3 linked regions of the Daphnia pulex genome follow. The protein of the gene in region 3 interacts with the protein of the main gene of each other region in a biochemical or structural test. Links are inferred from orthologs where the notes say so. Each region holds a gene or a part of one and is shown on either strand. Other genes may lie near its edges.

Region 1 (3,597 bases), on a different chromosome or scaffold from region 3:
TGAAAAACAATGGCGTCGCTCTCTGTTAACAAGCGTCGGTCATTAATGAGTCGACAATTGCTAACGGGACAAATGCCGAAATCTATCTCTACTTTTTGGCCAAACCAAGTCGTCCAGAATAAAATTGTTTTCACTCGATCCGTGGAGTTATCTGCATAATAGGGGGCAACGCAATCATCCTATATGTCGTTAGAGATTCAATTTAGGAGATATCATCTGTTTGTTTTTTTTAAAATAAAGATCTAGATGTCGAATAATGTACATTTGTGCCGAATCGAAAGCCAGGTGGAAGGTAATAACAGACCATGACGAGAGTCACAAAAATGATGCAACAAAAGAAGAGTCCCCACTGTTTCTTTTGATCTCTTTCGCTATAGTTCAGGCATTGGAAAAAAATTAAAAGTTTATTAAGAAACAGCGAAAACTTTGCAGCGAGCTTTTATACCTTTTACCCATGATGATGACATCTATACTACCGTTGCACTTTTTCTAGACTAATGGAAATGAAAACCTGTAACCTAATCTATCAAAATGAGTTATCTTTTCCCCGCGATGATGTATTATCTGTCCCGCTTATCTTCACTTCAAAATCCAACTGTATTCCTACGTTTTCCTGTACCGGACAGAAAGAAAATCAAAAAGTTACATTTGAAACATTAAAGTTTTAGAGACCAATTAAATCACCTGAAATTAATTATAATTATTTATCTGCAATAAATGAATACACAAATCATACACAATTTTCATTGCCACATTGTTACAGAATCAAGTTGAATTTAGCAGTCCCGTTATACGCATTCTCCAGGAACAAGATCCTCTCAACATTTTAACTCTACTAGTCATGAATTTTTGGAAATCAATAAAAGATTTAATATTTATAGATTGTGACTCCAGCCTCAGGCAGCACTCGTACCCGAAGCAAATCGACGGAACAAAAGGATTGCCAAAGCCACGATGATGGCCGCGATTATGTAATTATAGGTAAGATCATTATTATTATTGGTGCTAGCTGTTTGTACTTGCTGGGATGGTGGTGGGGGCGGCTGGATGACAGCAATCGGCTCTTCAGTGTTTGATGCAGGCTCTTCAGGCGGGTTTTCGTTGTTCGATTCACCCTTCATTGTAACCTGAGCTGCGATCTCTCGGGCTTCTGCTTGAACGGCTTCGTTTTCGTTTGTCGTCAGCTGACTGGGCTCTTGAAGAAGATTCAAAATTTTCCCACATTCTGGGCAAACAAATTCTAGCGATTTTTTAGCCAGCCTTTGTCTTTCTTCTTGTGTGTAGTCCAGAGATGCGATGGCTCCCATACCAGGAGATGGCATGAATCCAATAATAGCTAGCAACGCTGTCCTTATGGACCAAGAAGGAAGCCAAGATTCAGGATGGTGACCAGATATACTAAGACATATTTTGCGATTGACTTCAAATCTTCCATTAGGCTGTGGAAAAGGAGAAACAATTATTTACTAGGTCAATTCATTCAATATCAATAAATTAATGAATAATACATACTGTCAGAAGCATTATGCTTGGCGGTTTCAAAGGGTATTCAGGAGGGAGGGATATCCTTCCATGATACACTCCACCTTCAAAATCAGAGTCGGCCGGACCTCTTACTGAGAAATGCCATTCAAACAAATTGTCTTCTACAGGCTGGGCAAAATATTCAGCAGTGGGCTGTGATAGCTCTTGAGCTTCTCTCATCAGCCTTTTCACAGCTTTAAAAAACATATAGATTAGTGAAAACAGACTTGATGTAACAATTGCTATTGCACAACAAAAGTGAAAATATACATTACCAGGACTTTTCATGTTGTATTTGTTTTCCATTTTATTAAGTGCACTTCTCAAAGAATGCAAATACAGAAATGGTATCACTGAAACTGATTGTTATTACCACATACAATTGCTAACTGAATCTGACTGAGATACGTCGATTTATTTGGGATGACGTATCGTAACGAAACGCCAGTAGCAGTAAATGTTGATATTAAAGTCTCATTTATCTATCCATAGATGGCGTCCACACTTCACATTTGTCGTCTGCTCTGAATCGCCCGAATTTTGTATTTTGCAATTTGCATATTTCCACGAGACCTCGATTTTTTCTTTCTCCTCGGCCACGTGAAGTGAAGGTGCTGCAAAAAGATCACAGTCGTGTCTCGAGTGCCCAAATAATCCAAAACCAATTCCAAAGGCAAAGATACTGAAAAATTAAAAAAAATCACGAACGCATGAAAATAATTAAGCAAACATGTTCGCTCGCAAGTGGCGTTCAATCTCGAAATTGCAGCAAGCTGTCGGTAGTGGGAATTTCCCACAATTTTTTGTCAGCCAGCGGCACAAGTTTGACAAAAGAGAAGCTGTAAGAATGAACAAAATATTTCTTTTTATACCAACGAATGAATTTGTAGTATACCGAATTTGTTTTTTTATTAGAACTTGTGGTCCAAAACCAACACAGATAGAGCCCTGGATCATTTCGATGATTTTTATGGTACATTTTATGGAGACCTTTGGCCAGCAACAAGACTTGCAATGTTGTCTACACCTAAACATTGTGCTTTAGTTAATTACTACGGTGACTATAACGAAACTATTGAAAAGCTCAAGGTACAAGTACTTGGGTTCAAATGTGAATTCATTCGATTGATTTTCATTCTCTTTCATTCAGAATATGGGGTGCATGGATATTCAAGAACTTTTTGAACAAAGCCGTTCCAAAAAAACCAAAACACGTAAAACCCCAGAAAACATGCCTACTGATGTCCTCGAAAAGGAAGCTGGTGTTGAAGATGAGGAGAGTGAAAACTTTCAAGAGCTCACAGATGACAGAGTCATCTCTCCTGGTCAGACAACTTCTGCCTACTTGAATTTTGTTCCGACAACAAAATTAAAAGGGATGGAAGATTGGCTAGAGGAAGAAGATCAGTTTGAATATGTCAAGCCAACTTACGACTTTGTGGTTGAAAAGCAAAAAGACGAACGCCTGGATTTCCCTTCTCTGCTCAAAGCGTTTGTTTTTCCACGAGGGGACATCTCGCGATTTCCTTCCCCTAAAAAAAGTACTTTTGGTACTTCCAGTAAGTTCAGTATCTAGATTCACTTTATGGATTACTAATTGTCATAGATACTTTTACTAGATTATTACTTGATGGACGCTGCATCTCTACTTCCCGTATTGGCGCTGAACCTACAGCCAACTGAGTCTGTCTTGGATTTATGTGCAGCACCAGGAGGGAAATCCCTGGCTATATTACAGACGCTCTATCCAAGTAAATCAATTCATCAGTTTAACTTTAATGCTTCATTACAATTTGTCTTTTTACTTCCTGATTTGCTGTAGATAGACTTGTCTGCAATGACATTACGATTTCGCGGATTTCGCGCCTTAATAATGTGCTGAAGCAATATCTTGGGCAGACGCAAACCTGGAAGGAACATCTAGAGGTCCGAAAATCGGATGCTTTGCACTGGTCTGAATTTGATGCGTTCGATAAAGTCCTGGTGGATGTGCCCTGTACCAATGACAGGCATTCAGTCATGGAGGATGACAATAATTATTTCAAGAAAGATCGAATGAAAGAACGGATAAGT
Region 2 (4,825 bases), about 13 Mb from region 3:
TCAGAATGACAAAAACCACCAACAAGTGGATGGGCACTCCGGTGGTGATGGCTAACACGCGGAAGATGAACATCACTTGGGAATTGTACAGCGGATGCTCAATTTGGAACTGACTGAACAAGTCGTTTTTTAACGTAGTCGGTGGGATCCCGTCACAGTTTTTCAAAATGTCCACCGAGGCATTTGAAATTACGAGCTGTTGATGATGCTCCGACATATCTATACAAGCTAAAATATTTGTCTTCAAGGGTCGACCTCCTACTGATCCTTGTTCAACTTGGCCCAGGCATTTTTCTCACCCAAGGAAGGAATTGTGAATACCGAGTGCGCAGACGCCAGTCTTACACAATAATTCAGAACCACTCTCTGGAAATTTTCGCACTGATAAATAACCCTCAATCTAATCTTGGACACAATTGGATTGAGGATTCGCTTGCCTTTGTGATCCTTCTCAAGAATTTTAGTCTGGCCTCCGGAGGATTCTATCTAATCAAGTGGAAAAAGATGAAAATAATTTATGATTCCGTCTTAACTTCGACAGGAATTGGTTACATCTTATCACGCTTGATGATCACGTTGGCAGGTGTCATAGCAACTAAACTTCCTTCAAAATCTTTTTCCTTGCACAAATTTGGGTTTTTTTAAAGAAAATATTCAACAGGCTAAAAAATCCAATTACGTACTATACTTACTTTTCCTCCCAACAAAGAAGCGCTGATTGATAAAAGATCTCCCAAGTTGGCCCCATCTTTTCTGACGTGAATCTCCTAATTGGCTAAACTTTCTTTTTGGGGAAACGAGGGGGTCGATAATTTCAATCGATTGCCGGAGCGGAAAGTTGTGTACATAAAAGACTGTTGATTGCTCTATTTAAGGTTCAATTAACAATGAAGACTGGACAGGAATGCATCAAGGAAAAAGAAAGAAAAACACCCAACAACAAACAAAAACTAATTGGGGAATATATTCTACGCGCCGATGGCAGTAGGACTTTTATTACTTGGTGTCTTCGGCGCTAAACATTCCCTAGAAAAACGAAAAGAAATGATTTGATCAGTGATTATTGAATTAAAAATAAAAACACACCTTGGCACGACGGAGAATGGAATCTTTTGACGCGTCGTAAGGATGATCTTTGGAAGGAATTTCGAGCACTGCTGGAATTGGTTCATTGTGGTTGTCAATCACGTGCCTGATCATCTCTGCTACCTGAATGATTAAGCGAGGAAGTGAGCAAACACGTAATCAATTCATTCCATTCAAACTCACATTCTGGTTGATGAGAATGATGTCAATGTCATCTCTCTTGAGGAAGCGCTTGAAGCAGTCCTCCACTTCGCTGATGCTCGTATCTGTATGAAGCATAACAAGGAGAAAATTTTACTTCATTCTCCCACCTCAAAATCTCAAGTTGTTTCGTACTCTTGTCTACGACCATAAAGTTGGGCTGCCTGTTTTTGTTCATCTCTCCAATGCCACCCAAAAGGAATCCAACACAAGTGTCCTGCAATTAATCATTGTTTTTTAAAATTTGGAAACCAAATGAAGTTCGATAAAATCATTTTTAATATATTTACCTCATCACCGATGACGGCTATAAGCCTTCCTTTCGCTGCAGCAATGGCCATTTTTGTGTATAGTAAATTGAAAGAGAACTAAAGTGAATTGAGCTAAGACTTCTCTTTCTAGTTTCTAGTCAAAAGGGAACTGTCACATGACTCGTGAAAAAAAAACACACCGACTTTCAATCGTGAATCGATTCATTTTATTAATCGATAGCAGCAGAAGAAGCCATCCAACGCCACCTCGTGTAGATTGGTGGCAACTACATTTACATTCGTTTCGGCAACTAGATATTCGAGGCAGAAAACTTGTTGGCTTGGGTTCGGCAACCAATATTAAATAACAAATATTTCGTAAACTGCTCATTTTAGATACTGAAACTAAATCAAAATTGAAACAGGATTTTTAAACTTCTATGATTTAATTGTGTAAAAAAAATTACGTGACAAACATAAGAATTGTCCAACGAGTCCCGTCCTCTAGCTCTAGTAGTCCGCGCACTGACGAGTGCATTCAGAAAAAATCATGGCTGCTTCCGGTAAGGAAAAATTTCTCCTCGTGGCATTTTCTTGATATTTACTGTTTTAAGCTCGATAAAGAGACCGGTGATGTCGAATAATTGTTTTCCATAATTTCGTCTACGTCGTGGAGTAATTTTTATTTTTGTGGTAACAATCGGATAAAGTGACGTTAGAAATCTTTCCGGTTAAATTCACATGTGGCACTTGTTCGCTTCTGATTTGTCGTGTATAGATTATTAAAAATGGTGCCTTGAATAATGATGTGAATTTTTAACTGTTGAATTTCAGCCAAAAAAGGGAAGAAATCCAAAGGAAAGGTCCTGTCATTGAATGAGTTCCTCTCTGACGACCATGGAGGTTCCAGGTCTGGAGAAGCTGTCGTCATGGCACCCTCCAAAACCAGTTGGGCTGATGAAATGGAAGATGGCAAGTCAAATATTTTGTTTTAATACGCTGACATATTGAGTATCAACAATGTAATTTTTTGTTTTATTTGTAGAGGCGATTTACAAGGAGAAGCTGTTGTTGCCCACAGCACCACGGGCAGCCAGGGGATCAGACATTGATGAATCTAGGATACCCAACAATGCACCTTACACAGCTTATATAGCCAATCTACCTTATGATATTGAAGTAGAGGATGTATCCAAGTTCTTCCATGGGCTTTCGGTAAGAAATTGCGCTTTCACAACAGCAACTTTTTCTCTACTGATATTTCATACTCTTTTTTTCTGGTTACCTAGGTTAAATCTGTCCGTCTGCCAAGAGAAGGTGGTGATGGTGGCAGACTGAGAGGCTTTGGTTATGCTGAATTTGAAACTAGGCAAGATTTAGTTGACGCCCTTACGATGAACGAATTGGTAATTTTGCAAATTTTTCTATTTGACCTTGTAGTGTTTCCATTTGTCCTTGTTTTGCAGATGATTAAGAACCGCAAAATCCGAGTGGACATTGCTAGCGGCGCAGATGGTGATCAAGAACAGGGCGCTGGCGGTATGGGGCGAGGTCGTGGCCGTCCTACTCGCAATGACGAGGAAAGGGAAGATCGTACCCCTTCCGATTGGCGTAATGCACCAAGGGAGGGACCTCCTCCAGGCCAGGATCGCGGTGGTGGTGGTGGATTCAGGGGTGGTGACAGAGGAGGAGACAGGATGGAACGAGGTAAATTTGATTCAACAAATTTGATTTCCCAGCAATGTCTTTAACTATTCTGTTTGAAATTAGAACCTGCTGGCGAACGGTACTCTGCTTCATTCAATCCAAGGGATCGCCCACCCGGCTCAGCTCTTTCGTCTGAGAGAAGTTCATTTGGTCCCAGGAGAGACGGTCCTTCTAGTTCGTTCGGTGGCGGCCGAGACGGTCCTCCAAGCTCAGGTTTTGGTGGTCGCGATCGCGATGGTCCTTCATCTTTTGGTGGACGTGACCGAGAAGGCTCGTCGTCGTTTGGAGGACGAGATAGAGAAGGTGGCTCATCTTTTGGTGGACGTGATAGAGACGGTCCGTCTTCATTCAGTCGCGGACGTGACGGTCCTTCTTCGTTCGGTCGAGACAGAGAAGGCGGCTCGTCGTTTGGACGTGACCGGGACGGTCCCTCCTCTTTTGGACGTGAGCGAGATGGTCCCTCGTCGTTCAACCGTGACGAAATGCAGCGAAGTGAACGCCCAAGCGCTGCTGGAGGTAAGTTGACACGTTCTCCCTTTTTGCATTGGATTGTTAATAAGATTTTTCATTTTGATTATTTAGAACCGACCAAGGAAAGACCAAAGTTATCTCTGAAACCCCGATCTGTCCCAATTGAAGAGGGTTCCGTTGCCGATGAACCAACTGCTGCTGTTGCTCCCATAACTGAACGGCCAGCTGCTGCTGCTGCCCCAGCTCCAGCGGCTCCACCCAGCTCTGCATCCATTTTCGGTGCAGCCAGGCCGGTGGATACTGCGGCACGTGAACGCGCCATTGAAGAACGGCTCAAGGAGAAACAGATGAAGGAGCGGGAACCGCCTCTCCGTGGACGTGAAACTGATCGCCAAGAGTAAGCTCATTCAAATGTTTTATTTGATTCTCGAAACTTAATTTGTTTGTTTTTTAAATTTCAGTGATAGAAATCAACGCGATAATTCCCATGGCAGTGGTGGCCGTTCCTCTGAACGTCCCAGCGGAGGGCGCGGGCGCTCTAGCGAGGTGAGATTGAATTGAATTTCGCTTTGGCTTTTAGTTTTGAAATTAGCACCTATAAATGAATTGGCTTGCATGAATTCCCTTTGCATGTATTGAGTCGTTGCATGGTGCTTAACATTAAAGAGTTGAGGGACAGACACCCAGACTAGTTGAATTTAAATTACTGTCGGGGTCGTATCTGCTCAAACAATTTTTTGATCAAATTTTAATTTTTTTTTAATGTTTTTGTAAAATTTCACAGGGAGAGAAGACGGACGATCGACGAGACTATCGTAATGACGATCAAGACAATCGGCGTCCAGCACGTGATGGTCCTGGCTACTCTGGAGATTCACGACAGGCGCCCAAAGATGGAGACTATCGGCCGCCTCAAAGGTCGACCGCCAATCCCAACGAATACCGTCCGCCAGTGGGTGGTAGGGGGAGCAGCGGCGGAGGAAATGAATATCGTCCTCCCCGACCCAGTGGTGGAGCTGATCGTCGTGACGGAGATCGCCGTGAAGGAGACCGTCGTGACGGTGATCGTCGCGATGGTGATCGTCGTGATGGAGATCGTCGTGACGGAG
Region 3 (4,781 bases):
GAAGCAGCCAACAATGATGGTTCTTTGCCCGAGAAAGACGACGATCAATTAGAAAAGCTACAGAGTGATGTTGCAATGCGTCGCCAGAGGCTGCTGGAGGGTAAAAGTCAGTTTTCGCACTCGGTGTACTGCCCGTTCTATCCCGAAGACAAACAAGAATATTGGTGGGCTTATATTACGGACCGGAAACAACAAATGCTTCTGACCGCCCCCTATCACATTACCAATCTAGTAGAGCACGAAGAAATCCAACTCAAATTCACAGCTCCGTTCAAGCCGGGATTCTACACGTTCGCCGTGTGTTTACGCTCCGATTCATATTTTGGTTTTGATCAAATGAAGGATATCAAGGTATATTCCGGCTAATTATTTTAATTTTGCTAAATAGGTTATTGATTGATTAAAATTTTAATTCACAGATGGACGTTAAAGAAGCAGAGGAGATTCCTACTGAGCATCCACAATGGGATATTTCCGATGATGAGGATGAAGAAGATAAGAACTCTGGAGGCTCCGAATCTGAATTTGCTACCGATGATGATGACGAAGAGAGTGGCAAGGACTGATTGCAGTAGAAATGAGACTTTTTTTTCACTTGCCAGAGACTTCAACATTCTGTTCATTGGGAAAAAGGATTCAATTTCATCACCGTCTTGTAAAGGCTTAAAATCTTGAAAAATTTATTTCTAGTGGGAATCTTCTGGCTTTATTTTCATTGGCTATACATATGGGTATTTATCATTCCCTATACCTCGACTGCCGATTACACAAATCTTGTCTAGGCCTTCAATCGGTGAAACACGGGATGTTTGCAATATTTTGATTGTGACAGTTGGAAAATTAAAGGCTTCTTAAGACTTCCCTAGAACAGCATTTGAATATTTCGGATAAATGATTCATTTCAATTTTCAATTAACAGATTTGTCTAGATTATTATAGGAACCAAATGTCATCAATTTCTTGACTAGTATAGCGTAAAGAAATGTACACTCTCCACCCTTATACTACCCGACACCAAGGAACCACGGTACTTTATAAAAGGGTTGATAAAGAAAGCGGAAAGGTTGTCTTATCCGAACCAGTGACTTCCCATGCACTCTCTTGTCCACTCCGTTTGACAAACCCAGCACCAATGAAATCCACACTGTTGTCGAGTACAGATCATGTGCATACAACCTCCTGTGAACAAACAAGAAATTAGCTACACCGTTAGAGAAATAATCCCAGATCATAATTTAATTTACCATCTCGCTCGGTTGGCGTTCGGCACTTTGGGCAAGGTTTTGAAGTAACACGTATGGTAACGCGACTGTCTGCATCCCACCTCGCCTAAGTAAATAATTTCATGTTACTCATTTAATCTAGAATCAAGCTCAAATGTGGATATTAGAGAAACCTGAGCAGCTCGTCCGGGATCTACAACGTACTCGGTGGTTGTCAACATGGATTGAAAGTTGTTTTCTCCATTTGTCTGACACTCGTCGATGTGATAGCCTTGTAGGCAATCGCGGCAGAACACGAACTGAGTTGCGAAAAACATTTAGACATTTTTTAACAAGGTTATATTTATGAGAATATGCTTACCTCACATCCCCCTGTGCATTGAATTCGGCGACAAGAAGGGTCCGCAAGTAAGCCCATTCCACAGCCAGGTTGTGGACAAAGCACACCACCTGTCGACATAACATATTCCTCTGCTCCAAAGTGCAGGAGTCGTTGGTACTGCTCATTTCCTAGAATTTTAAAGTGCTGGGTTCCGTCGATCAATGAGTTCTCACATCCAGCTGGACAAGGCAGGGTATAACCGATATTGGGATCGAAGACAAACCTCCTTTCGTTCAATCGAGACATACAGTATTGCTGGAAGCACTCCAAACATATCACATGAGAGTTGGTACATTGAAATACCAAAACAGGATCACTAAAGTGGGATATTAAAATAAGTTGCCAAGTTACTGAATTCTATCTTAACTTTAAAACGATTGCTACCTAATATCCATGCAGGCCAGGCACTGAACCTGTTTGAAGTTTGATTTGACGAGATTCAGAGGAAGAGTTGAGTCAGTCTCTCCTCGTGAAGGGTGATGTGCGCACTTGAAGTAGAATTCGGCCCACGAATGATCACAATCTTCCATCTGACAAGTACCACTAACTTGCTCCGGTCGTAAAACATCATCCCAGCAGCAAGGATCTCGGTCCACGGTGAAGGCACCAGCTTTGCAAAGGCTACATCGAACTCGAAGTTTACCACTTTGTATTGATTTGCATGGAAATTCACAGTAAACATAAAACTGAGCTTTCTTTTGCTTATACTCTGGAGAACTACAAGCTAAAAACGAGGAAGTTGTCAGAATTCATAAAATGATTTGGAAAACTATTTGCAGACGTACCCAGAGATTTGTGCAACAATTTCTGTTCCTCTTCAGTTAACTGCAAGTCGAGCAATGTTTCACAAAGAGGCTTGTCTTGATGAAATGGTGTATTTCTCCTATTTTTGTCTTCGGAAGAAGTTGCATCAGTTTTTTTTATGACTTTAAGTTTAACAGCATTTAGAATACTATTATGACCAAGATCACACTCCTAAAAATTTGTTGGGTAAATTAAACTTAGAATATCAACAAAAGCAATATAAGAAATTAACAAACCTCTAGTAACAAGTCATCAGCAAGACTTTTGCCAGCCAAAATAATGCTGATATCTTCAACTTTCAGACCAACTTTAGGGGCTATAAATTTCTTGATCCGAGCTACATCCCAATCTCGACTCATTTCGATAAGAAATGTTTTACCTCCTGCAGCTTTTATGTGAACAGGCAGGGTAAATTCACTTGAATCACTGGGCCAAAAAAATCTCAAAATTCTGTTCAATAATGAACGTATGAGCGACAACAGCCATTTAATCATTCTGTAGGTTTACGTGAAAAACCCAAGATTGAAGAACATTATGAAAGCGAGATATCTACGTAAAAAATGTATAATTTAAATAACCAAAAATATTTTATATTTTTATATTGCATACCGGCACGAACTGAAAATATTGTTTACGTTGGCTTCGGTTGAAATGAATTGGAACAAACGTCGTCTGCAGTCTGCTGTGAAATGGACTAGCAACAATTTCGTCATAATATTTAGTTAGTAGGTTGACGCTAGCACCTTCTCTTCGTCACTCTCATCAACAAGTCAACTTCGTCTTATTATATTTAGCAGAGTATATAAAAGGTAACGAAATTATCTGTTATTCTGGTGTTTAGTGAGATTGTGGCTTGTAGGCTTTTATGGCTCTAGAAGGTCAACTTAAACTTGTCAAACTAAAAACTGCTGTAAATTTCTAGAATAAGTAATGTCGAAAAATCCTTGATATACTTAACCTCTTTCGTAAGCCCCTCTTTTTCGGTCATACCTACACGTTTATTTACATAAGTAATTATCGAAATCCGTACTTTAACTGAAAATGACGAACCCAACAGAAGTCGACCAAATCATGTTACTGGGTTACTTTTAATTAAATTAGTTTTAGGTCTTATATAACGTTACACTTCTTATAGCAACTAACTAATTATTCTAAAATTCAACCTTGGATGAAAGAAATTTATACAACTATTAATTTCCAGAAAATTAGAAAGAAGTTGGTAATTAAACAATACTGATCTAGTTTAATCCAAGATATTGAAATGTCTGGCAGGAAAAATCTTTTCAAGCAACTAATGGTGGCCCTGAAAAGGGCCGATTGGTAAGTCAAAAGGGAAAAGGTCGCTTAGGCACGTTCACCACGAATACGACGAGCGAGCTGGATGTCTTTTGGCATGATGGTGACTCGCTTGGCGTGGATGGCGCACAAGTTGGTGTCTTCGAAAAGACCCACCAAGTAAGCCTCGCTGGCCTCCTGCAGGGCCATGACGGCCGAGCTCTGGAAACGCAAATCTGTCTTGAAATCCTGGGCGATTTCTCTGACCAAGCGCTGGAATGGCAACTTGCGGATCAGAAGCTCGGTCGACTTTTGGTAGCGACGGATCTCACGAAGGGCGACGGTGCCGGGACGATAACGATGGGGTTTCTTGACTCCTCCAGTGGCCGGGGCACTCTTGCGAGCGGCTTTGGTGGCCAACTGTTTGCGGGGCGCCTTGCCACCGGTGGATTTACGAGCAGTTTGCTTGGTACGAGCCATTTCGAGCGAGTGAAATTTCAGATGTCCTAACTAGTGAAAAGTGCTTGGTATATGTGGGGAACCTACGGACGTTGCAGAGCTAAGCGAGTTCACTGGCTAGGGATTGGTTAATTCAAAAATGGGAGGGAATAGAAAATTTATAACGGAAATCCTTTTTGTTGACAAATGATGGCTGGAGCTGAGTTCCACCAATAGGAGTTCAGCTTGAGGATCCGGTAGGGTATATATTGGGACCATAGTGAGTTTAACATAACATCATTCGATATTTTTTAAATCTCTGAAACTTATTTGAAAATGACTGGTCGCGGCAAAGGAGGAAAAGGACTCGGCAAGGGAGGCGCCAAACGTCATCGCAAAGTTTTGCGTGACAACATCCAGGGAATCACCAAGCCGGCCATCCGTCGTCTTGCCCGTCGTGGTGGTGTCAAGCGAATCTCTGGTCTCATCTACGAGGAGACCCGCGGTGTGTTGAAGGTGTTCCTTGAGAACGTGATTCGTGACGCCGTCACCTACACTGAACACGCCAAGAGGAAGACGGTGACGGCCATGGACGTCGTCTACGCATTGAAACGCCAGGGCCGCACTCTGTACGGCTTCGGCGGTTAAATTTGATTCCG

What was found.
Region 1: the proteins of E3 ubiquitin-protein ligase parkin-like (region 3) and ubiquitin-conjugating enzyme E2 J1-like form a complex in vitro, tested with the Homo sapiens proteins (4 studies listed by BioGRID). The link is inferred for Daphnia pulex from reciprocal best matches to the Homo sapiens genes PRKN and UBE2J1.
Region 2: of the proteins of E3 ubiquitin-protein ligase parkin-like (region 3) and eukaryotic translation initiation factor 4B-like, one has a biochemical effect on the other in vitro, tested with the Homo sapiens proteins (2 studies listed by BioGRID). The link is inferred for Daphnia pulex from reciprocal best matches to the Homo sapiens genes PRKN and EIF4B.

Annotation. Positions count from the first base shown.
Region 1 is NC_060019.1:13,202,476-13,206,072, forward strand, and holds ubiquitin-conjugating enzyme E2 J1-like, read right to left. Parts: upstream 1,994-3,597; 5' UTR 1,831-1,993; coding exon 1,800-1,830; intron 1,719-1,799; coding exon 1,513-1,718; intron 1,440-1,512; coding exon 897-1,439; 3' UTR 681-896; downstream 1-680. Other genes in the region: alpha-(1,3)-fucosyltransferase C-like, read right to left, coding at 1-179, 263-371, 446-456; 5-methylcytosine rRNA methyltransferase NSUN4-like, read left to right, coding at 2,255-2,365, 2,440-2,613, 2,675-3,083, 3,144-3,275, 3,347-3,597. UniProt on the Homo sapiens protein: Catalyzes the covalent attachment of ubiquitin to other proteins. Functions in the selective degradation of misfolded membrane proteins from the endoplasmic reticulum (ERAD) and is essential for cells to recover from ER stress.
Region 2 is NC_060026.1:16,024,837-16,029,661, forward strand, and holds the start of eukaryotic translation initiation factor 4B-like, read left to right. Parts: upstream 1-1,845; 5' UTR 1,846-2,088; coding exon 2,089-2,101; intron 2,102-2,372; coding exon 2,373-2,510; intron 2,511-2,583; coding exon 2,584-2,753; intron 2,754-2,827; coding exon 2,828-2,944; intron 2,945-3,004; coding exon 3,005-3,245; intron 3,246-3,308; coding exon 3,309-3,761; intron 3,762-3,827; coding exon 3,828-4,113; intron 4,114-4,177; coding exon 4,178-4,262; intron 4,263-4,500; coding exon 4,501-4,825. Other genes in the region: beta-3 adrenergic receptor-like, read right to left, coding at 1-217; V-type proton ATPase subunit F-like, read right to left, coding at 997-1,026, 1,087-1,209, 1,270-1,352, 1,423-1,504, 1,578-1,628. UniProt on the Homo sapiens protein: Required for the binding of mRNA to ribosomes. Functions in close association with EIF4-F and EIF4-A. Binds near the 5'-terminal cap of mRNA in presence of EIF-4F and ATP.
Region 3 is NC_060026.1:3,260,692-3,265,472, reverse strand, and holds E3 ubiquitin-protein ligase parkin-like, read right to left. Parts: upstream 3,130-4,781; 5' UTR 3,019-3,129; intron 2,959-3,018; 5' UTR 2,904-2,958; coding exon 2,646-2,903; intron 2,581-2,645; coding exon 2,391-2,580; intron 2,330-2,390; coding exon 1,990-2,329; intron 1,922-1,989; coding exon 1,585-1,921; intron 1,523-1,584; coding exon 1,397-1,522; intron 1,330-1,396; coding exon 1,245-1,329; intron 1,180-1,244; coding exon 1,070-1,179; 3' UTR 567-1,069; coding exon of another isoform or gene 420-566; 3' UTR 358-419; downstream 1-357. Other genes in the region: translocation protein SEC63 homolog, read left to right, coding at 1-351, 420-566; histone H3, read right to left, coding at 3,754-4,164; histone H4, read left to right, coding at 4,459-4,770. UniProt on the Homo sapiens protein: Functions within a multiprotein E3 ubiquitin ligase complex, catalyzing the covalent attachment of ubiquitin moieties onto substrate proteins. Substrates include SYT11 and VDAC1.